2 linked regions of the Astyanax mexicanus genome follow. The protein of the gene in region 1 interacts with the protein of each later gene in a pairwise test. Links are inferred from orthologs where the notes say so. Each region holds a gene or a part of one and is shown on either strand. Other genes may lie near its edges. The genes, in order: coil and pdlim5b.

Region 1 (15,981 bases):
CAGAGTTCCAATTTATTATGCAAATTGGATTTAAGTGTCATAAAGATAACCTAACCAGAACTCACAAGCAGATACAGTTGCAGTGGACCCAAACATACATGAAGACTCATTTCCAAACAGTCTTGTTTACTGATGAGTGTATAACCGTGGATGGTACAGATGGATGGAGTAGTGGATGGTTGGTGGATGGCCACCATGTCCCAACAGGGCTGCGACGTTGTTTTGGGCTGGAATGTTTTGGTCGTGTTTTAAGCTGAAATCATGGTGAGAGAGCTGGTAGTCCCCTTTAGGGTCCCTGAAGGTGTGAAAATGACCTCAGCAAAGTTTATACAGTTTCTGACTGATCACTTTCTTCCATGGTATAAAAAGAAGAACCATGTCTTCTGGAGCAAAATCACACTCATGCAGGACAATGTACCATCTCATGCTGCAGAGAATACCTCTGTATCATTGGCTGCTATGGGTATAAAAGGAGAGAAACGTATGGTGTGGCCACCATCTTCCCCAGACCTTAACCCTATAGAGAATCTTTTGATTATCATCAAGCAAAAGATCTATGAGGGTGGAGGCAGTTTACATCAGAACAGCAGCTCTGGCAGGCTTTTAAGACATTCAACGAATTTCAAGCAGAAACTCTTCAAATGGATAACAATATTGATGCAAGAATTGTAAGAAGGTGATATCAAAGAATGTTTCTATGTAACTTGGCCTGTTAGTTAACCCTTTTAAACGTTATACATCTGGTCTGATTCACAAAATGTGGGGTAAAAGAAAAATGTGTTGAATTCTGTCTTTAATAATAATAATAATAATAATAATAATAATAATAATAATATAACTTGATTGGTCAGTTTAGTTTAAGAGCAGCAGTTTACCATGTGTCCAGCCTTCAGGATCCAGTAGAAGGCAAAGTTTTTGTAGGTCTTGTAAAAAGCTCCCGTCTGTCCTGCAGACTCTGGGTCTTCCAGAGCCGTCCACTTCATCTGATTGAACTTCTGGAGTCCTTCCCATTTCAGCTTCTTCACCCACAGCTCCTGACCTGTGAACCAGCACATACAATAATAATATTACATTCCAAACAAAACAGTATCGCTTCTAAATTGTCCTACATCGTCAAAAACTATTTTTGACCAGGTGTCTCTTACCCATCGTGTCCACAATCAGGTCCAGCTGGCCATTATAGACAGTCACATTGACCCCAGCAGACAAAAGCTCATCCACAATGTCCACCACAGGCTTCATAAAGTCTCCAGACATGCTGGAAAACACGTCTTCAGCCTGACCTGAAACATGCACACACACACAGTTCTCAATAGAAATGGACTGTACAAAGAATACCTGTATAGATAACAGACAGTCTAAACTCACTGGCCACTTTACTAGAAACCCCTACCTTGTAACAGCCAGAAAGGGGTTTCTGTAGAGCTGGGCGATATGGCCCAAAAAAAAATCTTCCATTATTTTTAAGAAATCCAATTTTCGATTTAAAACTTTTAAAATTTTTAATTTTTCCCCCTACTAAAATCTCCTAAAAGACGCTAGAAGTCTCTAAATGATATTATCGCCTAATTTGCACAATACATGTTTTTGAAGCTGTAATTTTAATAACTTTTTTTTTTTTTTTTAGCTTTCTTTAGTTTTCTTTATTTTCAAAGGGGGGGGGGGGGGGGCTGAGCTCAGGGGAGCGTCAGCGGTAAAAATTAAAACTCAGAGTAAATCGATTTTCATAAAAACACATCGACCTTAACTGTAAATTCGAATTAATCGATAAAAAGCTCCAAGTTTTTTTTATAAAGTGGCCAGGATGTTTACAGTGAAATGCTTGATAAACTGGTTCACCTCCCCATGTGACGTTCTTCGGGATGACACCTAGCTTTTTCCTGATTGGTCCATTCATCAGCTCTGAGAGTGACTGGCCATGAAGAGGCTTAATATGGCGGCGTTTCAGAGCAACTGGGAGAGACAGAGACATTTGTTTTGTCATTTTCTCAACATCAATACAGGATAAAATACACCAGCTCGTGTGTGAATCATTCTTTAGTGTCTTACTCAGATAGTCTTGGTCATCAGCACTGAACTTCACCAGGTCATCATCATCTTGTTGCGTGAGGATGTTGTAGAAATTCACTCCGTTTGTGTTCTGCAACAGAATAAGTGAGTCTGCTGTCTCTTTAAAAACATTAACATAAGTTTTCATAAAATCAGGCCTGTTCAGTTGTGGGCCATCATAAAACATTGATAAATGGTTAAGTAATATTGAAACTAATTATTAATGGACATTAGTTGAGACTTGATTAAACAATAATAAATATTGTGAACCCTGTTATTAATAATAAAAATAATGACTTGAGCCATTTGTTATTTTTATTTTTATGATTAATAATGTCTAAACTAGTCTTAACTAGTGAATTCATAATTATTTGAAACAATCTATCATAAGTACCGTTAATTGTAAAGTGTTACCAGTTATTATGCTATGTATATTTTATAGATATTTTATAATCTTGTGTATATTAAAGTACAAAGTACAAAAGTACTGACCTGTTCCACCACGTTTTCTGTAACTGACCACAGCTGAGTGGCTTTCTGATACTGACCCTGCTGCACTGCCTGCTGAACATCTTTCGCTGCTTGGGTCACCTCCTTTAGACCATAATCATCCAGCAGAGACTGGAGATCAAACACAAATAAGTTATAACATACTGGTAACAATTTACAGCAAGATGTAAAAATAAAGTTGAAAAAAAATGACATAAATTAAGAGTTCCACACTAGTTCAGTACTTCTTTAGTTTTAACTGCTGCTATAGTCCTAATCAAACCAACACGGTTTGAATCTAAATCACACATACAGACAGGGTTATGCTCCTGTATATATATATATATCTCCTGTACATAAACTGAGCATTTTCTGTATTTCAGTCCATGTTTTAAATCATAATAATTCATGCAGTGTCAGAAACCATTCATTCTCATTCATTGTTTACTCTGTTTCTATGTTGATCTGATTACTTTTAACTCCCTGACTTAATTTCAATAGAACACAGATCCAGTCTGCTCCATGCTGGGGGATTTATATCCCTCTAGCCCACTCCTTGTATTAGGCATGCTGCCAGTAGATTCATGTTTTTGTCTGCTCTAGAGGTTTCTATTTTATTGACAGTACTTTTCTACAGGAATTAGAAGGACAGTGTGTGCATTTGCACATGTGTGCCAATAATGAGTGAAATTTAAGTAAGTGAATGCATTCATTTCAATGGGATGCATTTTAACAAATAGCATACATTAGCTTTGTTGTTTCAATGTAAAACTTAATAAGCACCCACCAATATACCAAACATATAATATACACTCATTACGGCTGAGAAGTACTCACAGTGCTGTACAGATACGGCCCCCAGGTCAGGACAGAGTCTACAGTGGGGGATGAGATGTTCAGATTTAATTAGCAAACAAAAAATACACAGACATCCACTAGACATGATTAAGAAATATACCCAACAAAAAAAATCGCCTCACATTTTACACTTTTGTTATATATGTTTGATTATAATACAAACCTAAAGGAGAAATCCAGGAGTCTCCCAGCGCCACTCCAGCAAAATTACACTTAATGGAACCTTTCTGAACAGCCTGAGGAAACAAAATAGGAAATACAGGATATATGCTGTTGTGTTACACAGTAATTAACTTATTTGCCTTATAAAAGGTCTAATAACTGCAATTTGATGCATTTGTGTTTATGTATATTGTCCCTGTCCAACAAATAAGCTAGAATACAGAAACATTTCAGACGATAAATGGCCATTACACACACTCAAACACCATTCCACACACACTGAGCTGTATGCCTATTTGCAGAAGCCTTTGAGGAAGTGGACAATGACTAGAAACACACTGCTCCTATTAATAAACATCAGCTGAGTGCATGACTGAATGTCAGTGTGTAATCTGAGCACTTTTCACACATTTTATTAAAGTAATCATATTAACATTCAACAACAAATGATTTTATATTTAACATCACTGTCTACACTACTGTCTAAAATGCTTGGCAATTAGAAAAAAAACAAAGTTCCTTGTTTGAATTCCCCTTATATTGATCTGCCCTGTCACATGAGTGAGATCAGAAATCATAAATGTATTTGTTTACCTTCGTGAGCTCCAGTGAAATAGCCGAGGCCATTTTTCCTCCGTAAGATTCAGAGAAAATGTAGAAAGGAACTGTCTGTGGGAGGAAAACACAGCTGCTTTATTTTTACACTCTGATAGCAGGACCCACAGGGGGAGCAGTTTGTGTGTGAATGAGGTACCTGAAATTCAGTGCGCTGGCTGAAGAAGCTCTGCAGGAGAACCATCATGTCTGCTGCCACCATGGACACATCCGTCGCCAGGGCTTTCTCAGAGTCTGTGTAACTGTACCCTGTACCCACAGGATTATCCACAAACAGGACACTGGCAGCATTCACCTACAAAACACAGACTTATAAACATCAGAACTACAACTACTACTGCCACTACTACCAATAATAACACTAACAATAGCAAATATAGCCAGAATTAACAATCATCATCCAATCATCATTTTATAAACTACTTACCATTGTTGAGTTATTGTAACTGAGTTAAATAACTGGTAATTCTTGATAATTATAAACATGTTTTAAATTAGTCAATTACTGAGATGTCTACAATATGTCACTTATTAATTGGCACAAAGTGGCTGCTGAGAAATAGATTTTTGTTGTTTATCGCAGCACCTTTTGGCATGAAACTTGGTTTGGCATGAAACTTGATTGCCTTTCAAATAAATATTGGCTAACAAAATTGAATTTAACTGAGTTTAACTGAGATGGTAGCGATAGTGATCTTTAGCAGGAGGACTAACTGGCATATAAGTCCTTTTTTTATCTTTTTGTTTTTTTACGAATATGGTTTAAAAAAGTTGAATTATCTTATAAATATCATCATCATCAGTAGCAGCTGTTGCAGAATGATTAGTACAGTTATACAGAAATATTACTGTATTCCTTTATTATGACATTATTAATAGTATTGTAATGTATTTACCCAGGAGGTTTTCCTTGGCTTAAGGTCTGTGTCCAGAGGTCCGATCTCTCCAAAGTTTCCGAATCCACAACTGGATCCACCAGGTCCTCCCTAAAATACCAAAAACAAACACAAACCACACTGAGTGCATATGTAGTGCAGGACAGATCAGTGTTACACACAATCGCTATGTTATAGGGGAAGCAAGACCCATTGAGGGCCCTCTCAATGGTAAATTCCATTTCCCAAACCTGATTTAAATAGAAGAGTTTATTGAAGGGAGTTCACATGGAGATCAGCTGGTGAGTCACTTTTATGATGTTCTCACCTGAAGCCACATGACCAGAGGCAGGTCCTTAAAGCTGGGGCTGTTAGCATAGTAAAGCCACCAGAACATGTGTGCTCCTTCACGAACGTCCACATAACCCCAGACCTCCTTTTCCTGAACCGGGAGTGACCAGCCTGTCCAAAACACAAGAAAATTAGAAAGGAAAATACATTTTACCATTTAATTCACTTTGAGCCTGTGGATATTAAAGTATCCTGGTACCGTTTATAAATGTTACACATATTTAAATAACATTTAACATTAAGCTTCTAAAGAGTTTTAGTCACTTTGGGGCTGTAGCCCAAAACAATGCAAAAAGAGAGCGTTAATAACAGTTGAACAACTGATAAAACCTGTATCTGGGGACGTTTAGATAACTTTTTAACTTTTTTATATATATTTATTTGCCGCAGTACTCTAAAATAATGGACTCATTTTTTTATTTTCAACCGTCTCTGTTTACAGCAATTTACAGTTATTCTACACTCATGAATGAAAACGGGTTTAAATAGAGCACTAAAGGGCTTAAACTCACACATTTTTACCAAAGACCCGTTCTACCTTAAATGGCGCAGCAATTACACTCAGTCGTCCGAGCCATTTTTAAGGTGGAACGGAAAGTTCGAAAACAACCCAAAATCAGTTCTCGTTTTTTCCTTTCACTTTCACTAATGAATTCCACTTTATATCTGAAATTAACAGCTATATAACTCTGTTTTAATACATAAAACATGTTTATAAAGTAGTTCAAACATACATGAGACTGACGGGTGCGGATTTAAACACGCACTGCGTCTAAAACATTACCGCAGGTCTCCAAATCAGCGCGAACAGCGCTTTTAAAACACTAAGACTTTCACATTTACCCACCTCTACACACACTAACAGCGAACAGCAGCACCGCCGCCCATGAGCCCGTCCTGCCCGGTGCCATCCTGCCAGCCTCCGACTGTGGACCTGAACACACACCGAACACTGAGCTCCACACCGCGGCTGAAACTACATCATATGACCGGTCAGCTGACAGAAACAATAATACAAAAAAAATTAAAGGAAGAACTGCTGGGAACAGTTTTTATTTGGTGAATATATTTGAAAAAATAAAAATCACAGTATAAATGTTTATTATATTCACCATATACTAGCTTTAATTTCCGTCTAAATGTTTTACAGAGTTTATTTTATATAAAATAGGACTTTTCTTTTGAAGCACAAACTAAACGTTCACCCACTGTTACGGTGACAAGAAAACCGTCTTATAACGTTCTGGGAATGTCCTGTTTTGGTTAATAAATGTAAAAAATACCAAACGAACCATAGAAAACTAAAAAATATTTCTTTTTAAAACTCAAAACTCAAAACTCAGAGCTAGTGGCTGTATAAGTACTTTAATTTTAGTAATATCTCTTTATGTAATGCTGCATTCTTTTTATGTTTTAAATCATAAAAGTAAATAAAAAAACTATTATATATTAATGAAAGGGACTGAGAAAATAGAGTGTTGTTAAAATGATAGAATATTAATAAAATAGACTGATAGACTAAGTTCAAAAAATGACCTGAATTTAGAGCTAATTCTAAAATGTGTTGAACATCGTGACTAAAATGGTAAATGTTTTATATGTTATACATCTATAATAAATTCAATTAAATGTTATTTAGATATAAATACTTTCAACTTTAGTAAATCTAAAGGTAATTACCCTTTTCACAGAAAGTATCAGATTTACTGCTAGAGGTCGCCAAAATGTTAAACTATCTCGGTGGGTCTCGTTTTTATTAATCATTGATTGTAAAAGTCACTCATAAAAGGAAATGTAGCTTTATTTTCCCTTTTTTCAGTTTAATGATTCCATTCTATATTATCTGTGTGAATCTGGTCAACTGGACCACAGACTGTATATAAGTGTTACCTGTGTGCTGGTGCTCTCTCTGCAGCCGCGGTTCTCCTCCGGGCCGGTAGGGGGGCGGTGTGGTGATTTAGCTGCCCGGGCTCCGCTCCTCTCCTCCGGCAGGCATGGCGGGCAGCAGCGCGGTGAGGCTGCGGCTCCGGTTTGACTACCCGCCTCCCTCCGGGCCGCAGTGCCGCATGAGCTGGATCCTGCTGGACCTGAACCGCTGCAGGGTGATCGCGGATCTGTGCAGTGAGATCCGGGAGCGGTTCGGCTACAGCCGCAGGGCCGAGCTGGACCTGTTCATAGAGGAGAGCTACCTCCCGCCCACAGAGAGCATCTACCTGATCCGCGACAACGACAGCATCAGGTACAGCAGCAGCAGCACGTGCTCCAGTACTGAACACACTGTAAACACCTGGATAAATAATCCATTACTACAACTACTACCGCTCAGCCTCACTCAGACTACACTTTCACTTAATAAATATTCATTTAAACGTGTCAGAGCATAAAACACATTAACCATGAATCCAAAAACCCTTCATAACTGCATATAACATAAAACGCAGTACTAGTTTCAAACACAAATTACAGACAATCTTACACTTCCGTTCATTTTGTTTGTTCTTTTAGTTCTTGTTTTAAAGGGTCTTTATTTCATAATTAAACTTTAAACCTTTTCTTATAACATAAGTAAAAACTCTCAATCAATATATGGAAACGAAAAAGTACATTTATTTTCAGTTGTCACATATACACATTTAAATACACACATTATACATTCAGCCGTCAAATCAAAAAGCAACGTTTGTCATATTCAATACCAGTCAAAAGTTCGAACACACCTCATTGTGTTATTCGTTATTTACTTATTTGATTTTTTTTTTACATTGTAGTTTAATATTAAACACATGAACACAATTAAGGGATATATAGACAAAAGTTTACGTAGTAAACTTCCACAGACCTCCACAATCCCCTGACCTAAACCTAATCAACTGAGATGGTGATTTGGGATGAGCTGGAGCTTCACAGCATAAAGGAAAAGCAGAAACTATTGTTTAGCATCTCCAGAAACTCCTTCAAGATGCTGAGAAAACTATTCCAGTTGACTTTCCCTCATGAAGACACTGAGATTCAAATACCAAGAGTGTGCAGATCTGTCCTCTAATCTGTATCTAAATTATAAAACAGATTATTTGGTATGGTTTAACACTTTATTTATAACAAATTCCCCATGTGTTCCTTGTAATGTAAGAAATTGTAAAAAGAAAGAAAAAAAATAAATGAGAAGTGAACTTTTCAGTGGTACTGTACATTATCCTACAAGGCCCAACTAGCAGTGAAGGGTCTGGTCGCAAATCAGATAAAACAAAGATAAATTTGTACAAAGATAATAACTAAAAATTTGAATGGATTTATATATCTTTCCTGTCTAATGAAAAACAAGTACCTCCATTTTTGGTGATTTGAACACCCAAACTGTTCCTTCCAATGTATTAACACTTCTTAACGAATGGACCAATAGAAATTCTCCAAAATTAGCTGAAATACATTTTTTCTATTGAAAGTTAAGGTTTTATCTCTCCCTTATAAAGTTGTTGTTTTGGCGAAATTTGCTTTTCATTGGACAGCAACATTGTAAACTACATTTATAGACCGTAGGAACTGGGAAAGAGTCCATTGCTTGCATGGCTAATGTTCTTTACAGTCTTTCTTGCCTTGGTCTATGAATATCAGAATGCATTTAAGGTTGCAACAATATGTGATTTTCTCCTGGACCTTAGAGGAATAGCGTTATGAGGCACAACCCAGCGGGCAGAGGGTGAGGGTGTATGAGGTATGTTTGTGTACCTGCACCACTTGTCTGCTGGTCTGTTCATCAAGAGAAGATCCAGTTGAAGATCCAAGTCTCTGAGCAGGTTTTAAAAACACTTCATCATGACTGATGTAAGATCTTCTCAGCAGTAGGCAAACTAGATGAGTTTTTTTGTACAGGAAAATTTTGGATCATTTAAAGCACATTGTATCCCAGTGTCAGGGTGCCGTACAGTCAGTGTATCATCCACGTGATGGTATAAGTACCACAGCAACATTTGGGAAAACCCCTGAGACCTTGTAGTATTATAACAGTGATCTAGCTAGCAGCCACCTGGGGAACCATACTGTAGAAACTGCTCAGCAGCACCATTGCAGGCACTTGAAATACCATGGTAATCACTGCTTATTATCTGCTTCTTTATGTCTTTCTTTATTTGTTTGTCAGGGTGAAGGTTTCTAGCCTCTCATATTCAAGTGCATCTGAGCCAGTGGAGCAAGTGATCTCGGGAAAGAAGAGGAGTAGAAAAGAAGAGGATGAGGAGCAACTAGTGGAGGACTGTGCTGTTGCTGTATCAAAGAAGAGCAAAAAGGAGGTAACTCCTGTAAATGGTTTCAGTCATCATGAGGAAACTAAAAAGAAGAACAAAAAGAAGAAAAGAAAGAAGAACAAGAGGGTAGAGCCACAGACTGAAGCTGAAGCTGCTTTAAAACCAGTTAAAGAACCTCTGTCCTCCAAGGACCAGTCAGGAGCGAACAGCAGAAAGACTCCAGGTTCCACAGTGACTCCCAGAACATCAAAAAACAGTAGAAAACAGAAAGACTCCGACTCTTCAGACAGCAGTGTGGAATCTTCTAAAAAACACACACCTAAATCTAAACCCCAAACCCTACTCAAGCAGGCTGTCACAGCTAAGGCTAAAGAAACCTCCTCTTCAGAATGTTCCTCTTCTGAGGATGATTCTGCTGCACCTCCCCAGCCAAACAAACCCAACCTTGCTGTCAAACCATCTCCCATTCCACTAAAGCCCACCTCTAATGCCAACTCTAAACCATCAGTCAAAAAGCCCTCCACACAGTCTTCCTCAGATTCCTCACCCTCATCATCATCCCCATCACCCCCAGCGAGGAAGATACCACCTCCTCCTCCTCCTTCTGCAGTTCAGAACGGACCCCCACCTGCTCTATCCACTCCAGTGGCCAAAAAGAATGAAAAGAAGCCAGAAAGTTCAGATTCTGACAGCAGCAGTGAAACGGAGCTCGTGATCAAGACCCCCAACCCACAGGTCCTGGGAATGACCCCTCGAGGGGGTGGTAGGGTCAGAGGTCGTGCAGGGGTCAGGGGTGGCTTTGGTAGGGCCAGAGGAACGCCATGGAAACAGAACTTTCACTACAACTATGACAGTGGGGAGCAGCAGACGCAGGATGATTCCCAGAGCAACAGGAGCCTGATTCTGGAGGTAGGAACTGCTTAAGTTGAGATGATAAACTAGTTTGGGCATGATTGATCACAGACCCCAGACTGTAGTTATTTTTGAGCTAGTTAGTGCTAGGCCAACACTAGTAATAAATATTGTGCTTAAGCCGTGTTCACATGGAATCTGTTATTATGCTTAAATATTTAGTCCAGTGTTCGTTAGCATCCCCTAGGCTGTTTAATATGACTGAATCTGGGTTATATTGGCTATCAGTTATGTTAAATGACTGTAATAACTGATCTTTTAGAGACCAAACCTGGATATGATCATCTGAGTACATGTTATTGTGTACATTATCACTATTACAAATCTACAAGTAGTTTAGAACTAGTTTAGATTCTTAAAATGAGCATTTTCGTCATTCCAGTTCTTAAGCACAGATTCACTATTAAAGGTTATTTTATACTAAATGAAACAACAACTCAGTTTATTAATTGGTATAATAGTGGTTAAGGTAAGTTTACTTGTGAACTCTCAAACTCTCAAAATGTATTCTGATGGATTTGTGACATTGTAAACAGCATTTAGACTATTCATCTATAATCCTAATGTATAGCAGCATCTTTGAAAGCATATATAAATAGATAGATAATGGCAGTGTCTAGTGTAAGTTTATTAAAATGACTTTTCATAACTCCTGTGTCTGTATTTCTGTGTTTCAGAATCCTCCGGAGCCGAAGCCCAGTCGGGACTACAGTACCCTGCCCCTCCTTGCGGCTCCTCCTGCAGCGGGGCAGAAGATTGCTTTTAAGGTAAGATAGAGAGGGAACATCAGTGCTGATGATTGGAATTGTTATGGTTTTGCAGTGTTATTATATCGAATTATACAAACTTTTTGCCTTTAACCAGTGAGTCTCTGACTGTTGTGGTCACTAGAGGTGTGCCATATCATATCGTGTGCAATAATATCGCCACATTTTTTTTAATAACATGAACATTATTATACCCTGAAATATTGTGCCATATCACCCACCCCTAATAATCTTTTTTTTTTAAATATACTGTTTTTAGCAAAAGAAAACTACACACTGTTCTCTCAGTGTTCACTGTGTGCGTTCTTACTATCACATTCTGGATCACTGACTTCTGTTACAAATCTGATAAAATTCTTGTATTTTTTTTTATCTCAGTTAGGGGTGTGTCATCATTTTGTATGCAATAACAAAATTTAATTTTCATTTTGTTGCAGTAGTGTATTCTTGAAATAATTTTAGTGTTTTGTCATATCGTACCATGAAATATTGTGATATTATTTCAGGGCCATATGGCCCACCCCCAGTGGTCACATCATTCTTTTTTTTTTCTTTTTTTTTTTTTTAAAAAGCAGAGTGAAATACTCTAGAACGTCTTGATGTTTTGTGAACCATATCTGCTGTGCTCACCCTTACTGTAGTATTACTAGGTGACCCATACTGCTTTGTTTAGAAAGCTAATTTGTGTTTTCAGCTTAGTTGGAAAATGATCAATAAATGCATATGCATAAACAGCAGTTTACCTCCGAGCTGCGTTTAGACTGTAACAGTAAATAAACACTGTATTTTGCTGGAAAGAAGTTAAAGCGGGTTTAGTCTCAATTTCGCCCTAAAACTGACAGTGTGACACATCAGCTGTTTAGTTGTCCAGAAGGATAACGTGTCTCTTATCTGTGAATGTGTTCTTCTACTAAATCTTCACTCCTCCCTCTAACAGCTTTTAGAGCTAACGGAAAACTACACCCCAGAAGTTTCTGATTATAAGGTAAGTGTGTGCTTAAATATATGTATTTATCATGTATTATGGTATAAAAATGTTGGTTATCATACTCTGTACATTTATATTTGGATATTTAGCGTCAAATAAATATTTCTTAATTTATTTTCAAGAGGAAGACAGTGTACTTTAACTGATAACCCCTAACTCATTATATTTATTTACTGTACAATAGCAGCCCCTGTTAGAGTGGCATCAGCTGTTATAGATGCTTGATTATGTTTATCTGCTTGTTGCAGGAGGGGAAGATAGTTGGTTTTAATCACACTACTGGCATGATTGAACTAGAGATTCTCACTCAGACTCAAGGTGAGTCCTGCAAAACCTGTTTACTAACTGTGAATCACTGCTCTATCATTTATTTCACAAGCCCTGATTACACAACAGGACATGTGTAATCACAAAAATGTTCAGCCTGATCCGTTTTGTCATCTTCCCAAAATACAGTCTCATAATGAGGCCAGCTACTGTTCAGAAGTAGTATTTAGTTTATTCAGTAAAAGATTATAATATACAATATATTTTACTTTTTGTTCTTTTGTTTTAGAGCAGCAGCTTCATATTAATAATTATTTTTTTATTTGGCTAAAGTGAGCAATGTTTACAACCCATCAGCTGTAGTGAACGCAAATATCTGACTTATTCAGAGTTGTATTAAGAAATATAAAGCATTGGCATCAATTATTGTAACCAGGCCTTGAGAAAGGAGTAGATGTAATAAAGACAATTTAATTTTCATTTATTTTGCATTGTAAAGCAGTGTTACTCTGTTTTTACAGCACGTGCAGAGCCAGGGAAGTTTGATTTGGTTTATCAGAATCCAGACGGTTCAGAGAGCGTGGAATATGCCGTCACACTCGGCTCTCAGGTAACACACACAAACTTTATTTCACACACCTTTGCTCTACCCCATTTAAACGTCTGTTACTCTGACAGGACTTATTAATAAGCTGGTTAGTTGATCAGTAGTGCTGTAAGCAGGAAAATCACTGAATGTGGATGCAGGACGTGTCCCAATTTTCAACACCTTACACGCACACAAAATAGTCTCACTATTTGAAGTGGACATTTCAAACAAGACATTGGGGTTTGGCAAAATTGCGACTGACACCATGCTAAGGCTTAGCAGTGTTAAAAACACGCATTTGTGTTTGGACTAAGCTCTAGTCTAGAGTAACCTGCTTTGTTTCCCAAAGACAGAATATGATAATAGACGACACAATAATTGTTAGACGTTTTTTGCAGCAAGTAAATTCACAGCATTGAGAGATTAGGTTGTAAAACCCCAAATCAGAGAGAATGCACAGTGTGGAAATGGGGAGGTATATTTTACTTTAGCCTTTATGAATATATTTCATGTTTTGTCTGGTTAACATTCTTTAATTTAATGGAGAACTCTGGTGTAAAATGGACTTTTGCTGTAGTTTTGCTGTATAATAAAAAGTACTTACCTTTGATGAATAGCACCCTTCAGACTGGCTGGCAAATCACTGTGATAAATCACTTTTTTTCACCATTATCCAGGCTCAAAGTAGCTCCACACCTTCTTGCTAGAATCAAGAGAGATGACATTTAAAACGAGGCATTAATAACTTTAAAAGTGCACAAGAAGCTTATTAAAAACCTTTGTTTACCTCCTATAATGCTACCTTCAGCTCCGAGCGCCACTATTACTATTATATATATATACACACACATAGACTCTATGCAGAGTTTATATATATATATATATATATATATATATATATATATATATATAGTTCTGTTATTTTCAGTTCAGTAATTGAATTTTACTATAAAAATAACAGAACACTGCTCCGGTTTACCTTGCTGAACTTTTAATCCCATACTGCCCGTCCCGCTGCCTGCGATCATCGAGCTCTGGTTTACTCACTGTACCAAAATACAGCCTGCGAACTCTGGGCAATCAAACTTTCTCCTCTGCTGCCCCATGATTGTGGAATCAGCTCCCCAGTAAACTCTTTTAAATCTTTACTTAAAACTCATCTTTTTAGGAAAGCTTATTGCTGTTAATACATTTTTACCTGCATACTTTATTTTATTTTTTATTTTATTGTCTGTTTTTTTTTTTAATGGTCTCTTTTTTTTTATGTATAAATACTTGCACTGTTACGTGTAAGTGCTTGCATGCTTGTTTTTATTCACTATGCTTTTTGTCTTTGGCTGTGTTGTTAAGCGCTTTGAGTTTTCAGGAAAGGCGCTATATAAATAAAATATTATTATTATAAAAATATTCAGAATCATGTTATGTCATCATAGTGATGTATTATTGTTGATTTTATTATTATTATTATTACTGCTGTTGAGAGAGTAGTAGTAGTTGGGGAATCACACTGAGCTCCAGATTGAACAGCTGAGCATTGAGGGGGCGATGCCTCGTACAGCCTGTAAACCACCCTGTTGTTGTAGTGTTTCACTGTGTTCAGCACTTACCCTTAACGCTCACAATCCCAAACATTGTGTTCCCAAAGCTCCAAACACGCTTTTGTCAATCTGCTTTCTGCTTTAACACCCATTACACCAGCTTTGGGACGCGCCCCTTTTTAGTGGCTGAAGGTTTAGCTGAAGGTCTTTGAATGTAGTGTAATGTTCATTGTATATTGTATATTAAAATATAATAAACATGTATGTTTTATTAATCTCTTTCTGTATGTGTGTGCTGTCTCTGCAGGTGACGGAGCGGTGGGACTCTTTGCTGGAACCTCGGCTTATAGTGGAGAGCATGGGTTGAGAGAAGGTGTCAGTTTGTTTTAATGGTAAAGTTTTCATTCCTGAGTGACGTAAAGTTGCTGTTTTTTAAACATTTACTGTGAATAATTGAATAAATATTTTTGATATAAACCATTATTGTTTTCTGAAATGTTATTTCATTGCTATCATATGTTTTTTCTTTCTTTTTTTTGTGTGCCCTCTGAAGTAAAGTAGTTAAAGAAATTTAATTGTATATATTCTACCTACTGCCAGTGAAATTTTCTCTGGGCCTTTGGCTACAACACACACGAAAAGCATGATCATCCACCCCCATGCTTAACAGATGTGTTCTTTTCATGAAATGCTGCATCCGTCTTTCTATTCCTTGTTTACAGTGTGCAATAAGTTTCCTGTTGAAAGCTATTTTTGGTAAGGGCGCAGGAAAGGTTTCTTTCTGATGACAAATATATGCATTAGTTATGCAAAAATTACTTTGAGGGGGGGAAACAAACCTTTTGGAGATAAGGTTATCATCTCCACATCTAATCTAGACATTTTGACTTGGGATGCACATAAGGTGTGTGTATACAGTCATATGAAAAAGTTTGGGCACCTCTATTAATCTTAATTTTTAGTTGTAAATATTTGGGTGTTTGCAACAGCCATTTCAGTTTGATATATCTAATAACTGATGGACACAGTAATATTTCAGGATTGAAATGAGGTTTATTGTACTAACAGAAAATGTGCAATATGCATTAAACCAAAATTTGACCAGTGCAAAAGTATGGGCACCCTTATCATTTTATTGATTTGAATACTCCTAACTACTTTTCACTGACTTACTAAAGAACAAAATTGGTTTGGTAACCTCATTGAGCTTTGAACTTCATAGCCAGGTGTATCCAATTATGAGAAAAGGTATTTAAGGTGGCCAATTGCAAGTTGTTCTC
Region 2 (16,920 bases), on another chromosome or scaffold:
AACACATATATGTTACACAGCCTATTGACAAACATTACACTTTAAAAGAAGGTACAATAAACAATAAATAGAATAAGAATATAGTTAAAAGTACTAAAGGAATAAAGAGCACTGAAGAGCAACAGAAGCTAAGAGATAAATGTTGCCTTCTCTACGTATGTGTTATAACTGATTATTAATGATTTCTAGGGCATTTACAACCTAATTAGTAACCATTAATAAACTAATTGTAAACCATTTATAAACCCTTTATAAAGGTAGTCTTATTGTAAAGTGGTAATGAATATTACTGTATCCAAAAATTCTTGATGTAGGTTTATGTTAAATATTGTTTAAAGTTTGGGTTTGTCCCCAAGCCAATTTACACCATCATTAAACTGCAATGTTCTTAATAACCAGATGTCCAAATAATTATATCACTGTACTACTGTATCACCCCCAGTCATTCCACGTTATGGCAAATGGGTTTATGGGTACCAGCTTCACACACGTCTGCACTGTCCTTAACTGTCCCTTACTTCGTTTAACCCTTTCACTGCTGAGAGTAATGAAATAAGAGCTCAGTGTTGCTCTGAGATTGTACTGCTTGTACTGTATAACCTGCTGATGTCTTCACCTGTGTCTCTCACCACTGGCACTAGTGTTATGTTTTATTTCTTCTCCACATAACTGTCTGTGTATTTCTACTGTAAACTGTAGGCCTGTGAAGAAAGTACGTGATGTGAGCAAGTGATGTCACACGGTAGGAAGTAGCAGAGCTATCACACAGCCTAGAGAAATGAACGGTTCACTAGGGTTTTTAACCAATGCCCAAAGATCTGAGCAGCCAAGACATGTCTGTTGTGTGAAGATTGCATCTTTAGAGCATGAAGAATCATAATTATCATAACCATCATCATAAATGATTCAAATAGTGCTGGGCCATGTGGCTACAAATTAATATCATGACTTACTGAATAACAATTTAGCTCAAATATAATGAATAAGTGATTATTTTACAGTATTTATTGGTTTAATCTGCTTAAGTTACTCAGTTGGCTCAGTTGGCTCCATGTTGTTTCCAGAGCAGGGTCATGTGACTACATATGATAATACAATTAATTAATTAATTTTTTAAAAACAAAATAATTGACAGGATTTGTCAGTTTTTTCCTGTTATTTATTACTTTTCTAGCTCTATTAATAATTTATATTTTTATTTATATTTTCTTTGTTGTAATTTTAGTCCAATTACCCAACCCACTCATTTGGACTCCTTCTATCACTAGTGATGCCCCAACACACCAGGAGGGTGAAGACTAACACATGCCTCCTTCATACATGTGAAGTCAGACTCCGCCTCTTTTCAAACTGCTGCTGATGTAACATTGCCAAGAAGTATCAGACTCAGTTCTGATACATCAGCTCACAGACGCAGCCTTGTGCTGATCCACATCACCCTTCGGAGTGATGAGTGGAAAGAGCGCCACCTACTATACCCACCCAGAGAGAACAAAACCAGTTGTGCTCTCTCAGGGCTCCAGCAGCTGATGACGAGCTACATAAACGGGATTCGAATCAGCAATTATAATTTATATATTTTTTAAGAAATTATGCATGTTTTAATCCCTTTTTTTTACATATTTATGTGTAAGACATTGGGATTTATTTCACAAAATGCAACGAATTAGCATTTTCCAAGTTATTTAATGTACAAATTATAATTTTCAGCATATTTTCTACCTTCTGTAAATATAAAAATACCCTTAAACTTCTTATTTAACTCATTTTTTTATACAAATGCAATGTAGAGAGATTTTTTTTTATAGTGAACATCATCAGAGTCAAGATCAAAATTGAAAAGAGGGCCAAGCCAAGAGTAGTTCAGGTTATAGAATATTAAAATAATTAACAAACTAAATAAATAAATGAATAAATCCCCTTTTTTGTAGTTCATTTGAAATCTATGTGTATTCTTTATGACTGCAAATAATAATGCAAAATAATGTTAGTTCATTAGCATGATTTAGTCTGCAGTAAAGTCTTTACTGAAACTTGTTTTGTACCACAAGCCATTATTTACAAAGGTAAAATTAAATATTTAAATATTCTTTACTAATTTTATTCTTCTGTACTGAGGCCATTTAAAAAGAGGTGTGATTTTAATATTACTTCATGCATTCTAGCAAAACTTCAAACATGTCTTGGCTGATCAACATCGTTAAAGATCAACAGGGTGAAAACCATATATGTTTTGATATTTATAATATTTAAAAGCTGTTAACCAAGGAGAGCCACCTGTGATGCCTTCAATAGGTGAAGCATCTGAACCTGTCCAAACCTGTTTTCTTAATTTTTCCTCTTCATTTCTGACTATGAAGGCTAAATGTATCAGGGAGCATTACACATGCTATGTTATGCACTACAATATCTTATAAATATATATAAATATATATTTATTTAACTTTATGCAAGAATGTGTTGTTTTATGAATTGATGTTTATAATGGTTTTAAATGTGTATATCGTTGTGTTGTATGAGCTTTATAGAGACAGTTCTGATCCAGAGTGTGTAGGTGACCAATGATATGATATGAAGATGCACACCATCCTAGGGGTAAAGTTATGAGTTATGAGAGTTGGGGATGGCTTTTTAATAATTTATTATTATAACCATGTTGTCTCATGGTTTCAGCCTATTCTCTGTTGTTCAATAAACGTGTATCACAGATGAACATGATTATATTGATTAAATGTCAGACTCTGTTCACTTTGTACTCCTTCTCTGCTCTCATCACTCTGTTAAAGCTGTGTTTGATGTGAGGGCCTCTCTGTCTGAGGGTCCCGGCTGACGTATAGCTGCACGCTTGGCTGCACAGAAGAGAAGCACAATCGATGTATTAAACCCAAATGGATGTACGTGTTATGCTCGTCAATTGACTTTCTCGACTGACTGAGACGCTGGTGTTGCAGCAATGCTCTGCTGGATACACGCTCATTGTTATGTATTCCAATTGACCAAATATACAAGCTAGTTCTGAGAAATATCTAATTAGCATGATTTATCACTTACCCAACTGCCAATCAGTCAGTCAATCAATAAGTTTTTTTAAAGTAGATTGAATATTTATTACAATTATTTAATTACTAATTGTCAAATATTGATTACATGTTCTTCTATTTGTTCTAATGCACTAAAATAATACTTTTGCCACCACTATTTATTAATTATTTGAAATGTTCTGTCAGGTAGGGAGCGATGCAGATTGTGAGTATTTATTAGAATAGTACAAGAAAATAAAACAAACAAACAATAAACTAAAGAAAGAAGGAAGAGAGACACCTCCAGGAACTCCTTCCTTTAAGACGCTGAGAAAACTATTCCAGGTGACTCTCCCTCATGAAGACACTGAGATTAAAATACCAAAAGTGTGCAGATCTGTCCTGTAAGAGAAATTAAGCTAATTATTTAGAAAAATCTAAAGTGTAAAATATATTCTGCTTTGTTTAACTCTTTATATTTACTTCATATTCTACGTGTTGCTGTGTAGCTTTAATACAGTCTTTAATATTAAATTTACTTGTTTTCCTTGTGTTTCTCGTCTCCCAGTGTGCTCCCCTGTAGTTTTCCATTCAGGTGTACCCTCCTCTGTCTAATTTGTAGCTCCGCCCCCTCGTTACTTTCTCCAGGTGTCTCCCATTTCTGTTTCCCTTCTTGTGTGTTTATACCCCTGTGTTCCTGCTTTTCCTTGTCAGTTTTTGCATCCTTCCTTTGTTGTTTTTCGGGATCATATCTGTGTTTGCGTTCCCTGGTTCACACTGTTTATTTTCCCTGCTTGTTTCTTGTTTATCTTAGTTTATTTTCCTTGTTTATTCCTTATTTATTTTCCTTGTTCTGTTTAGTTCATGCAGTCATCTTTATGTTTCTCGTTTGATTTCTCAGTTACCCTATACCCGTTTGTTTCTCCTAGTCTCTTGTTTGTTTTGGTTTGTTTCTTTATTCCCTTGCTTGTTTATTTATTTTTTATTTTTTAATAATAAATGTCCTCTTACCTGCACTTACGTCCGCCTCGCTGACAAAACGAAATAAAACACACTGAATAAGATAGAAAAGATATATTCAAACGTTTGCAGCCAGTGTTTACAAGCAGTTCTGAGATTGAGAAGTCCATATTTGAGCAGTGGATGGCGCCACAGGACTGTGCTACAACATCCTCCTCTGAGAGGAGCTGAAACAGCCTGTGGACATGACTGTCTGCTCTCAGAATTACCCAAAAAAGGAGCACAAATTCAGCTGTAAAAACCTTTTTAAATGTAAAATATAAAACACATGTGGATAGTTAACACATGTTCCTGTTTGGTGAAGCAAAGTCCCCATTATTACCATCAGCTGAGCCTGGCAGGCACTTCCACTCTCTCTTAAACACCGAGGGGAAAGAATTACATCACCATTTAAAAACTGAACCAGCCAGCCTGCTATCACTAAAGCCTGGTATCGGCCAACCTGCATACTTACTGCATGCACTCATTAGGTTGGGAATAGTTCTCATTGTTTAGATGCACTGCAGGTCTTTCCCTTTTAAAGTCATGATAAAGGCTATTGTTTGATTGTATTGTTCAAAGCCAGTGAAGCTTCTGACCACATACCTCTCAACATCTGTTTTTTCCTCATACCTGCAGGTAGACAAGGAAATAAAGCACTTTCTTTTTTTCTGGTTTATTTTACCTGTTAATTATAAGTATCTATGTTTTGAAATCTTGACTTGGTTGCGTGAAATTCAGTCATGATATCTTTGCAACTTTTCAGTTAAAAACGACAAAATAATCTCAAAATTTCAACTTATAACAATGAATGACTTAAAATAAGTTAAAATAATTACTTTCTCACTGTTTACTTAACATATAAAAATCAAAACATTTTGATTAAAATGTATCAAATTATGACATGTTATGTCAACAATTTAACTTCATCAAATATTTGACATAGTATTTAAACATTTTAACCTGGTATCTTAAAACAAAAACTTCTCTCAAAATTCCAATTATTGTCTTAATAATGTAATATTCTGTTTTGATTTCTAAACATTTTGACTTGTTTTCTTGAGATTTGGACATGTTGAGTATTTTAACTGAGCATTTTGGTTTAAAAGAAGTTAAAATAATACATTTCTCAAAAAAATGTTCTTTGTTTAATTATCTTTTAAAATTGATATTCCAAATTAACTTACTTTGTCAAAAAAATGCATCATTGAAATTTACAAGAAAGTATATTTAAAAATATATATTTACTTATATAATTCACTCCAGAGATTGTGCACATTTTGATTACATCCCAAACTTTTGAGTTTTTTCCTACATTTTCTACAAAAGTTGCATTTTCTTTTTTATTTTATGTATATATAATTTTGTATTATTATTCAGGGCAATTACTCTTTAACATCTGAGTTTACTAAGCTTAGAATGTCTTAAATTCAGAATTTCTAAAATTCACTGCACTATGGAGAAAAACCTATGTTACAATTGAGGAGACTTGTATTAATAGTGCAGTCTTAAACTGTGCTTAAAAAAGCTTATCAAGGTTTTATTAGTAGTAAAGGCAATGGTGATATAAAGAGTAAAAACAGTTAAGAGAATAATTTGGCTGCTTTAGTGGTTCACTGTCTGGTAAAAAGCTTCTTCAGGTAGCTGCAAAATCTTTTTGTAAATAGTTTTATTAGGAAACAAATGGGTTTTAATATCATTTGAAGTCAAATAAACCTTTTTTAGTACTAAATAGATAAAGTATATAAAGTACACTGGGTTGGTTTAATCTTTGAGCAGCTCACCTGATTCCACTTGTTTAATCAGTTGGTCAGTCTTCAGACAACTGAAGAAATGTGTTTGTATTTGGCTGGAATGAAAACCTTCAGCCACACCAGCCAGTTATTGACAGGTTTGACACCCTTGGCTCAGAGTGTAGGCCTACCGTGATTGAAATAAAAAAAAAGTTTAAACAGCCTTAAAAGACCTGCTGTTGATTAGACATCATCTGGTGCATTAGATCAAATGCTCAGAGACTTCAACATTAAACTCTGAGGTATGTTAGTCTTTTAGGTTGTGTTTGTGTCTATGTTACCTTCTTGCACTTCAGTCAAATATATATTTTTCAATACTATATAGGGCTATATATAAACAGGGGAGTCAAACTTGGTCTCACTGGGCCGGTGTGGCTGCAGGATTTTATTATAAATAAAGCCAGCTCACCTGATTCCACTTGTTTAATCAGTTGGTTAGCCTTCAAACTAATGATGAAATGTGCTTGTGTTTGGCTGGAATTAAAGCCTGCAGCCACACCAGCCAATTGTAGACAGGGCTGACACCCATTGGCTTAGAGTGTAGGCCTACCATGACTGAAAAAGGCCTCAAAAGGCCTGCTGATGATTGGACATCATCTTCAACATTAAACTCTGAAGCATGCCAGAGTTTTAGGTTGTAATTGTGCCTATGTTAGCTTCTGGCAATTACTTTCAGTTAGGCTGTTATCATTTCAAGTCAAATAATGTTTTTTTTTTTTCAGTACTATATAGAGCTATATGAAGGGTATAACCCTTTATGCTTAGAACAGGGGAGTCAAACTTGATCTATTGGGCAGCTCACCTGATTCCACTTGCTTAATCAGTTGGTCAGTCTTCAAACAACTGATGACATGTGCTTGTGCTTGGCTGGAATTAAACCTGCAGCCACACCAGCCCAGTGTGGACAGGTTTGACATCTATGACTACACTCATCTTTGAGTGTAGACCAACTGTTATTAAAAATAACCACATAAATGGCCTTTAATAAAAAGCTGTTGATTAGCCTAAATCTGGTACATTTGTTCTTGACCAAATACTGAAGCAGAGTATAAAACAGAGTTAAAAAAAATAATCTGTAATAATTCACTAAATAAAATATATGAAACTTTAAAGTATTCCAGTGTTTCAGAAAGTGCTGGTGTCTATGTTACCTTCTGGCACTCTTCTTATAGTTAGGCTGTTATAGTGAGTAGTCACAGACTATAGTCACTTCTGATTTGCTTATCTTTTGTGTTATGACACAATACGACAATATTACATGTAAAAAGCACACTTAATGATCAGGGGTGCGTTTCCCGATAGCGATTGTTCTTAGGGATTTAAGAACAACTTTAAGAACGACTTAACTTTAAGAACGCCATTTTTCCGACTGTTTCCAGAAGCCACTCTTAAGTCTCCATACTTACGAAGGACCTTTAAGTAGCACTTTGGTGGCTCCGCCCCCGTGTCTGTGAGGTTTAAGGCAAAGCCAGATGAAAACTAGACCACCGATTTATATACAGTTCTTCATTATTAAGCCACAAAGGTATAATTTTGTATGATATAAAAAGCCAAATAAAATATATTTACTTATTTGTTTACTACTACGACTGTCAGACTGGGGAAAACCGTTAATTTAATCCATATGTGTGTGATATGTGTGAATAAAAATTATATTTGTAGGTAATTGTAACTTTTTCTTCACGTGAATACGATTATTTCAACCATATAATAAACCCAAATACTATGAATAAATATGCGCAGGTTAATAAATTAATTTAAATAGTCTGGAATTTAGTCTTTTTTTTATTGTTTATTTTTTTATAAATACGTATGCTGAATGCATCTTTAAATGCATTTTTTTAAGGATCAAAAGCGGCCTCTTTCGTTTTTGAGTCAGAACTGCACGTGGATTCCACGTTAAGAAGAACTTAGTTATTTACGAGTGGGTCAGACCACTCGTAAAGTTACGAACGAGTTTAAGTACTACGTTAGTTACGAAGGCTTTCGGGAAACGCTCGTAATTTTAAGATTGTTCGTAAGTACGAAGTTACGAAGTACTTAGCGTTAAGAACGTTTTGGGAAACGCACCCCAGATTTGTTCTATCAGCCTGTTTCTGGATTCTCTACATCATTAATCTTCTTCACATTCTTAGTAATTGATGGATTTTTTTATTTACTGCTTTACTGCTAAGGTTATCATAACGTTCCCTCATCGGTTGGATTTAGAATCTCTGTGCTTCTGAGAATCTGCGCTGAAGTCTGTCACCTCCTTGACTAAGACCCAGGAATTCTTTGCTCCTGTGAAAAACATTGAAAAGTTTTCCTCTAAATCTTTCTTTCTCTTTTGCTTTCTTTCTTTTTTTGCTCTCTTTTCTTTGTGTTGGCATTCTCTCAGCCCCAGTGGTCTGTTTCTTTAAGCTCTGAACTTCTAGTCCTGCTCCATTTTTAATGTTCAATGCTCATGATTAATCACTTTCACAATTAAAGGATAATTCTGGGCTAAAACTAGAATTTGATATATTTTTTGCCATGTATATAATATTTCACAGAGATTTGATGACGCTTTATTATATGTTTAGGTCCTTTATTTTGTTTTATTTAGTATTTTATTTATTAGTATTTGTCAATGTGCTTTTCTATCAGCATCCATGCATAGAATGTTTGTCATCTGAGGTCTTTTGACATCATGACCAACATATTTTTTTCTTCCCTCAAATAGTTTCTCAAAACACCTTTCCCACATACAGCTCTGTAAAAAAAAATAAAGACCACTTAAAAATGATGAATTTCTTTGATTTTACCAAATTAGAAACATATCAAGAGGATATGGAATGGAATCTAATCAAGAGGAATGTGGATGATCAAAAGCCAACAAAACAAGCTGAACTGCTTGAATTTTTACATCAGGAGTAAAGCAGCATAGAATTACCCAAAAGCAGTGTGTAAGACTGGTGGAGGTGAACATGCCAAGATGCTTAAAAAGTGTGAATAAAAACAGTGTTATTGCACTAAATGTTGATTTCAGAACTTCTAAAACTTTATGAATATGAGTTTGTTTTCTTTGCATTATTTGAGGTCTCAAAACTCTGCATCTTGCATTTTGTTATTTTAGCCATTTCTCATTTTCTTCAAAGAAATGCTCTAAATGACAATGTTCTTTTGGTTGGAATTTGGGAGAAATGTTATCTATGTAGTTTATAGAATAAAACAACAATAATCATTTTACTCAAACATAAACCTATAAATAACTAAATCAGAAAAAAAATCTGATTTTTTTTTTGTGATCAGTGTGGGATTCACCTAACTTTCTCACTTGATTCATCTCTGAAAATAACGGCAAGCAACAGGTGAGTGGGCAGCAGCCCTAAACTCAGACGACCAATTAAACGCCGCTTTGCTCTCCTCAGCGTCCAATCAAATCGATTGTGGTGAAGTCACCCTCCCGCCCCCTTAGAAACATCCAATCAGAAGCGAGATTCGGACGGTCGCCTGGCTGCAGGAGCGCACGAGCGAAGTGTGGAAGTTTCAGTCAGTTGTGTTCGAGCGAGCGGCGGAGAGAGTCCGGAGTGAAGGTGAGTGAGTGCTGGGGGGAGAGTTCAGCGGCTCTGAGAGGCTTAAAAAAGCCGGGTTTAAACCGGTTTAAAGCGATCTTAGACTGACTTAAAGCGGGTTTAGAATAAGTTTAAAACGTTTACGTTAAGTAAGAGGTCTTAAGTGTAAGAATAAGTCGTTTAAACAGCCTGAAACAAGCTGTAGTAGAATTCTGACAGCAGCGTTATAAAAGCACGAGCTTGATTCGGTTTAAAGAGTGAAACCGGTTTAAAGTGAAAGCAGCCAACAGCGTTTAACAGTGAGTGTCTGTTACTCAGAGTGAGAGAGAAGAGTTACAACACGTTTGTGCTTCAGGAAGTACACACACACACACAGAGGTGGAGGGTGTGTCAAGTCTGTGGGGAAGTGAGGTGACTGACTACCGTTACACAGTGTCAAACAGATTGTTACAGTATTTATATCAGTTACAGAAACGCTGTGTTGCTTGAATTTTTGCACCAGGAGTGGCATAAAGTTATCCAAAAGCAGTGTGTAAGACCGGTGGAGGAGAACATGTTAACTGTGATTAAAAACCGGGGTTAATTCACCAAATATTGATTCATGAAAGGACAATATTTGTATTTGGAATTTGGGAAACTGTTGTCTGTAGTTTAGAGAATAAAACAACAATGTTCATTTTACTCAAACATAAACCTATAAATAGCAAAATCAGAGAAACTGATTCAGAAACTGAAGTGGTCTCTTCATTCTTTCCAGAGCTGTTGATGATAGATGGTTAGATACTTTATTGATCCCAGAGGGAAATTCTGGACATCAAGTAGCAGATATACATAGTGCACAGATGTTACAAAAAAGTATAAGATGTAATGATACAGATAAAAAAATAAGTAATATAAGTAATTATTTTTAGATGCTAAGTCATATTAGGGAGAAACGTCATTATTTTGAGGTGCCATGTCTAAACTAGGTGAAAAAAAAAACATGTTTTTTGGATGCAAAATCACAGTTCCTAGAAAAGTGTCGTCTTTATTCTGTATTCTTATAAAGAACTTCAAGATTATATGTCTTATTGTAGGCAATAAGTCAAACATTTGTATATATGCACGTTGTGAGCTTCTATGACTAGCATGTATGTTCAGCTGCTGTCAGTTTATTTCAGGTCCTTTGAACATCCATCTACTTTCTATTTTATTTTATATCTGATCTTATTCTGTTGTGTTGGTGACTGAACTGCTCTTATGTTAGTTCCAAAGATGAGCCGTATATCTTCTAACAGTCTTTTGCTGCTATTCTAATAGTTCTAATAGTGTTCCACTTACATACAGTCCTGTAATAAGCCACACAGTACTTTAGTTACAAAATTTAGCTAGGCTACTCTGTGCTCTTTTTCTGCTTAATTGAACACTGTAACACAGATTAAAATATCTCTCCAGTTTTGGGAAGGTTTAGGAATGTCAGGAATGATCTGTGGACGCTTTTTGTGGCGAAGCTTTGTTAGCCAGTTGGTTGCCAGTTACAGGTTTAGCGTCGTACGTTGAATAAGTCCTGAAGAAAGAAAAACATAGTTAAGCGTAATAATCTAATTACAGGTAATCTGTGCAATTTTGATGGCTAATGGAGAGCTGGCCTGGCAGGGGTTCAGCTACAACTGCTATTTAAGTAGCCCCTCAGCCCCTCAGATTAGTAATGCAGTTTTTTTACAGGCTGGTGGTGAGATCATGGCATGTGAAGGCAATGAAGGGAGGATATTCAGAGAGCTGGTATTTGCAGACAGAGTAATTCCTGAGCGTAAACCAGGTGTTGCTCCAAGGTTCCGCCACCCTTGATGTGGTAAACCCATTAAAGCAGGTGTGTAGGTGCTCAGAGGCAGGTGGGCAGGTGAGGCTCCAGATGTCTTGACATAAAGAGCCTTTATATCAGCACCAAGTGGTGACTTGATGAAGAGCTTTTGGCCAAGATGAGTCAGTCTAAACCTTCTGCTGTACAAACTGCATATTGAGAATAAGGCTATGTTCACATTACAAGCCACGTTGCTCAAATCAGATTTTTTGCTCAGAATGTGATCTTAACGGTTCACATTCACAAATGTAAGTGATCTGTATCTGTGTGTAATGTGAACGAATCTGTCTCTGTATAAACGTCACCTTCTTCACCAACAACAAAAAATGTCATATTTGAGAGACGAGAGACTCGTAGCTTTATAAAGGTGAAATGGATGCGTTAGCAGTTCATATGTGGAGCAGAAAAGAGGGGAAAAAAGGCTAGGTGGTTTGCTTTTGCTGTTTTTGCAGCTATAGCTGCACAGCTGCACCAAGAGATGCAGTGTGGGTAGGGGAGAGAAGCACGTAGCACTAATGCTAATGCGTAAGAGCAAAAAGACGCATGAATTCATGAATTCATTTGACCGTTCACATTCTTGTCGCATGTCCATTGATCGGATACGTATCCGATTTAGGACCACATAGGAAAGTGACTTAAATCTGATTTAAAAAAAAAACTTGATTTGACATGTTCACACAGCCATGAAAAAATCAGATCTGATCCACTTTGATCAAAAAATCAGATTTGCGAACATAGCCTAAGTCTACTCTGTATGTACAAAAGTATTGGGAGACCAGTACATTACACTATTTAAAATCACATTAGTGTGGAGTTGGTCCCCTCTGTAACTTTACATGGTTGGACGCTCTTTCTGAGAATATCTAGGTGGAGGAAAGAAATTTCACCAGCTGACTTTGTTGCAATAGGTCAATCACACACACAGCACTAGGGATGCTCCAAACTTTCTGCAACCTAAAGATAATAGAGAAATGGGGCAAAAATAAATGTGTTTGGCCTTTAGCCTGTCCATCTTTGGACACGTTTCCATTGTGTTTAAATGTGCAAAATACTGCAAAATGTGTTATAAACTGGAATATCTAATACCTCTGGGAGCCTGGGAGAGTGCTTACAATGATGGAACAACCTAGAAAATTAAAAAATTGTTCATATTTTGGTTGGATTTGCCATAAAAAATGGTCAAACCAGTTGTGGTAAACTCCAAATCCTTTACACTGTAAGCCCGGATAAGTTGAGTTTACTTAAAAAATTTGAGGAAACCGGTTGCCTTAAAAAAGTTAAGTAATGGGCAATGAAAACTTAAGTTAACATAACTTAAAACATCAAGTTAATACAACTAAATGGTAAGTTGATTTAACTCTTTTGTTTTTGTTACACCAATTCATTTGCCCTACAATTCTACTTAGTATCTTGAGTTACAAGTAAGCAAAAATTTTGATTTCTTCTTACTTTTATTTTTTATTAAACGTTACTTAAATATTTTTATAAATATTCATGGAAAAAACAGAGAAAAACTCGCGGGTCCGACGGGCGTAGCTCGCGGAGCTGGCGGGAGAAGCTCGCGGAGCTGGCGTGAGAAGCTCGCGGAGCTGGCGGGAGAAGCTCGCGGAGCCGGCGGGAGAAGCTTGCGGAGCCGGCGGATGGAGCTCGCGGAGCTGGCGGGAGAAGCTCGCGGAGCTGGCGTGAGAAGCTCGCGGAGCCAGCGGGAGAAGCTTGCGGAGCCGGCGGATGGAGCTCGCGGAGCTGGCGGGAGAAGCTCGCGGAGCTGGCGGGAGAAGCTCGCGGAGCTGGCGGGAGAAGCTCGCGGAGCCGACGGGCTCGCGGAGCTTGCGAAGCCGACGGGCGAAGCTCGCAGAGCTCGCGGAGTCGATGGGAGATGGCAGAAAAAAAACTTTTTTTTTTGCATTTAAACCTGCCCTTTTCCCAGCTTGCTGTTGGTGAGGCGGCGGGCGAAGCTTTGCGTCCTCCGTGCCTCTGCAGTCTAAACTGCAAGGCGGGAAAATGTGGGCAGCTCAGTGGACCAGTCACAGCTGCCGCTCTCCGTGTCGCTGAGCCTGCGAGCCTGCCCGCCGTCTCCGCGAGCTTCTCCCGCCGGCTCCGCGAGCTTCGCCCGCCTGCTCCGCGAGCTTCTCCCATCGGCTCCGCAAGCTCCGCCCGCCGGCTCCGCGAGCTCAGCCGAAGCTTTGCGTCCTCCGTGCCTCTGCAGTCTAAACTGCAAGGCGGGAAAATGTGGGCAGCTCAGCGGACCAGTCACAGCTGCCGCTGTCCGTGTCGCTGAGCCTGCGAGCCTGCCCGCCGGAGAAGCTCGCGGAGCTTGCGGAGCCGGCGGGCAGACTCGCAGGCTCAGCTACACGGACAGCGGCAGCTGTGACTGGTCCGCTGCTGCCCACATTTTCCCGCCTTGCAGTTTAGACTGCAGAGGCATGGAGGACGCAAAGCTTCGCCCGCCGCCTCACCAACAGCAAGCTGGGAAAAGGGCGGGTTTAAATGCATAAAAAAGTTTTTTTCTGTCAAATAACTTAAAAAGTTAAGTCAATCAGTTCAAAAACTTAAAATGTTTAGTTTATTAAACTAAAAACTATTAACACGTTTAAATACGTGCTGAAATGAGTACAATATACTTACATTTGACAGTAATGGACTAAAACTTAATAATTTATGTACATTGAATATACATTTTTAATTAGAAATAAAATCCGGGCTTACAGTGTAGTTTGTACAATTATCTGAATGTTTTACTGTTTATATAACTTATCATATCATTCCCAGCTCCAACGTCCAACTTACGGGGTAAATGGAACGTACCTTGGAAACACCTCTGGCAGAAGGACTGAACAAAACACCAGAACTCAATGATTAAGCAGTGTGCTCCAGTGAGCGGTCCTGTTGGCTATATAGTGTAATATCAGTGGAAAATGCTATTAGTTTCCAGGAACACGATTCTGATCACATCCGTCTGTTTAAACTTTTTCTTTAATCAGCGCAGATGTTTTGAAGGTGTCTCGCTGTAGACTTATATCCCTACATGGCTTATCAGGCCTTGTTTGAAGGCTGTATCTCAATATGTTTTGCGGTCGACACAATAGTTCGGCTGTGCGTAGGTCATGTGTGGTCATGTGCGCAGCCCGGAGCTGGTAAACATTAAACAGTGCAGTGATCACACATGGAGCTGAACGTTCAGCACAGTTAAAGCGGCCACCTCCTCCTTTCATCGGAACACATGATTCATAAACAGATGCGTGCATTTCTGGTAGCTCACCCCGCTCCTCATTTGTGATGATTTAACTGGCTGCAGTTTGCATCCCTTTCAGCTGGAGTGGAGTATTTCCAGCGCAAAAAAAACTTTCGTGACTTTCGTGAACCCGCGCACCAGTTGTCTTCGTCTTCGGCTATTTTCGGCACATTTGTATTCTTGGCTTTGTCTATAGACTGGAGCTCGGGGGTGGGATGGCTATTATTGCCATTACCCATTCATTCCTCCGCCTGAGCAAATGTGGCCGGTACTCCCTTTAGGCCGTGTAAGTTATGAGCTGAGCTCAACCAGCAGATTTTCCCTACAGACCTCAGCGCTATTGAGCTTTCCAGGGTGTGCCTTTGGCACCACGTCTACTCTCAGCTCAGGAGAAGCCGATTGTAGTTGACAGAAGAATGTACATGCCAGCTTTCACGTGGATGCAGATCCAGATCCATTTTTTTTGTTTATGTCCATGGTGACAGACATATAAAGTCGTCTAGGCCTATTTTAGGCTGCACCGTTTTCACCCCACCTTTCTGAAAAGAGAAGGATCTGTATGGAATAATAATAGCAGCTCAGGAGACTCTCCTGGGTTTTCCAGCCGCAGAATAAGTCTATTACACTTTAATCTGAAGCTAAAGCTGATTTCCATCTGGAAAATCACTATCCATACCTCCATTGTAGGGCAAGACACTGATGAATGCTCTTTAGCCCTTCCTGTTCTTTGCTCACACAGAGATAGAAAGCTCTTATCTTGCTTGTTTTCCTCCGCTTGTCTCCTCTGTTTCAATTTTTACTGCTTCTCCCTTGTCTTTTAAGTGATTTAACCAAAAGCCGCATTCCCAAGATAATACCTCGGGTCATGTTTCAGCAAATGCCTTAGCCTCAATTGTAGGACTATGTTAAGCCACTTAGCCTCCCTCCACTCTAATTCCATGTGGCTTCACGCATGGGAGTGTTCCCGGAGGCTCGTCAGAGCTCCGCGCTTATCGTGTCTCGATATTTCCACTCCCAACAACCAGCCAGCGGAGCAGCAACAGCCCTAATCTAGATTAGATCAACAGAGGGAACCCAGGTTAGGTAATTAGCCAGTTGCCGAGAGCTTTTGTTTCCGCTGCCGGCCCGCGGGCATGTGGCTGCAGGAACGGGAAAACTGTTTCATTCATTTCGCTCTCTTTACGGTGCCGGGCATGTTCTCAAAACAAGGCCAGTTCAGTGTGTTACCCCACCCTAGCAGGAAGAGCTGTGACAAAAGAAACCTCTGTATGAGGAACTAGAGGTTTCTCATAAACCACAAGGTCAAGGCATGATCTCATGACACACTGAAAAGAAAGATAAACAAAACATAACAAAATGAGGTGGGAAAAAAAAACGTATGTTGTAAAATATGTTCTCAGTTTCTCTGCATACGGTGTCAGGACTTCACAAGATCACCACAGAGCAGCTATTATTATTATTATTATTATTATTTGGGTGGTGGGTCATTTATTCTTAGTGTAACAGCTGAGTGTCTCTCTCTCGACATCTGCTGACTTGCCACGTACAGTTGCTACAGATCCCTCCCTCAAACAAAGTCTGCTGGCTAAGTAAAGTTACTGATAAACAACAATTAAGTTGAGAATTCTGAATTCTGAACATGCCCATAGTTTACTTTACAAATGTGAAATAGTTCCCATGTGCTTATTGTGTGACTTAGCTCTGGCAGAGCACATGTTAGACTGTGCTAGAGTAAGGTAAGAGACACTGGCTGGCAGGATGTTGTAAATGCAAGGCAGAACTCCAAAATAGTGAACAGAAATGAACAATTGTATAAAAAAGGATTTTTTTTTTACAATTCACTCTATTACACACTCCTACCTACAGCTGCTCCACTTTGTAGATGAAGTAAAATCAGAGACAGTAGCTAAGCTGAAATGTTTAAAAACTCAAGCAACACTGCTGTGTCTGATCCACTCATTCCAGCACAACACACATCAACACCTCCTATATCACCATGCAGCACCATGCTAATCAGTGCTAATCACTGCAGTGCTGAGAATAATAATGACCCACCACCCAAATAATAATAATAATAATAATAATAATAATACTAATAGCTGCTCTGTGGTGGTTCTGTGGGGTCATGACATGTATGACAAGTATGTAGAGAAACAGAAATGACTACAGCCCGTAATTATAGAACTACAAAGTCTACAAAACCTCCTGTATGCTCAGAACAGCTGATAAAATAGACATGAGTGTAGAACTAAACAAGCAGTTGGTGTTAATGTTATGGCTATTCAGATTAAATGGATTAATGTAATGTAGTCTGTGTGTGATTCTTGTTTGACATGAGCTCCATTGGATTACCTAATCCGGCTGAGGCTTGGGCCCACATGCTGTGAGCTCTCTTATCTTGCAGACATCTGACCTCTATTATAGTAATTGTTGTAGTAACTTTTCCTTTCATTAAAGGGGAGTTCCAGCATTTATCTCTCATTGAGATCTTTTTTTGAGTGCT

What was found.
Region 2: the proteins of coil (region 1) and pdlim5b interact in binary tests that used the Homo sapiens proteins (3 or more experiments, as listed by UniProt). The two-hybrid records come from large-scale screens. The link is inferred for Astyanax mexicanus from reciprocal best matches to the Homo sapiens genes COIL and PDLIM5.

The regions. Positions count from the first base shown.
Region 1 is NC_064426.1:14,145,763-14,161,743, reverse strand, and holds coil (coilin), read left to right. Parts: upstream 1-7,334; 5' UTR 7,335-7,393; coding exon 7,394-7,638; intron 7,639-9,537; coding exon 9,538-10,549; intron 10,550-11,229; coding exon 11,230-11,319; intron 11,320-12,256; coding exon 12,257-12,304; intron 12,305-12,555; coding exon 12,556-12,625; intron 12,626-13,095; coding exon 13,096-13,184; intron 13,185-15,008; coding exon 15,009-15,068; 3' UTR 15,069-15,181; downstream 15,182-15,981. Other genes in the region: scpep1 (retinoid-inducible serine carboxypeptidase), read right to left, coding at 876-1,039, 1,146-1,283, 1,840-1,953, 2,050-2,140, 2,542-2,670, 3,376-3,413, 3,560-3,632, 4,153-4,227 and 4 more. UniProt on the Homo sapiens protein: Component of nuclear coiled bodies, also known as Cajal bodies or CBs, which are involved in the modification and assembly of nucleoplasmic snRNPs.
Region 2 is NC_064427.1:4,299,749-4,316,668, reverse strand, and holds the start of pdlim5b (PDZ and LIM domain protein 5b), read left to right. Parts: upstream 1-9,264; 5' UTR 9,265-9,366; intron 9,367-16,920. UniProt on the Homo sapiens protein: May play an important role in the heart development by scaffolding PKC to the Z-disk region. May play a role in the regulation of cardiomyocyte expansion. Isoforms lacking the LIM domains may negatively modulate the scaffolding activity of isoform 1.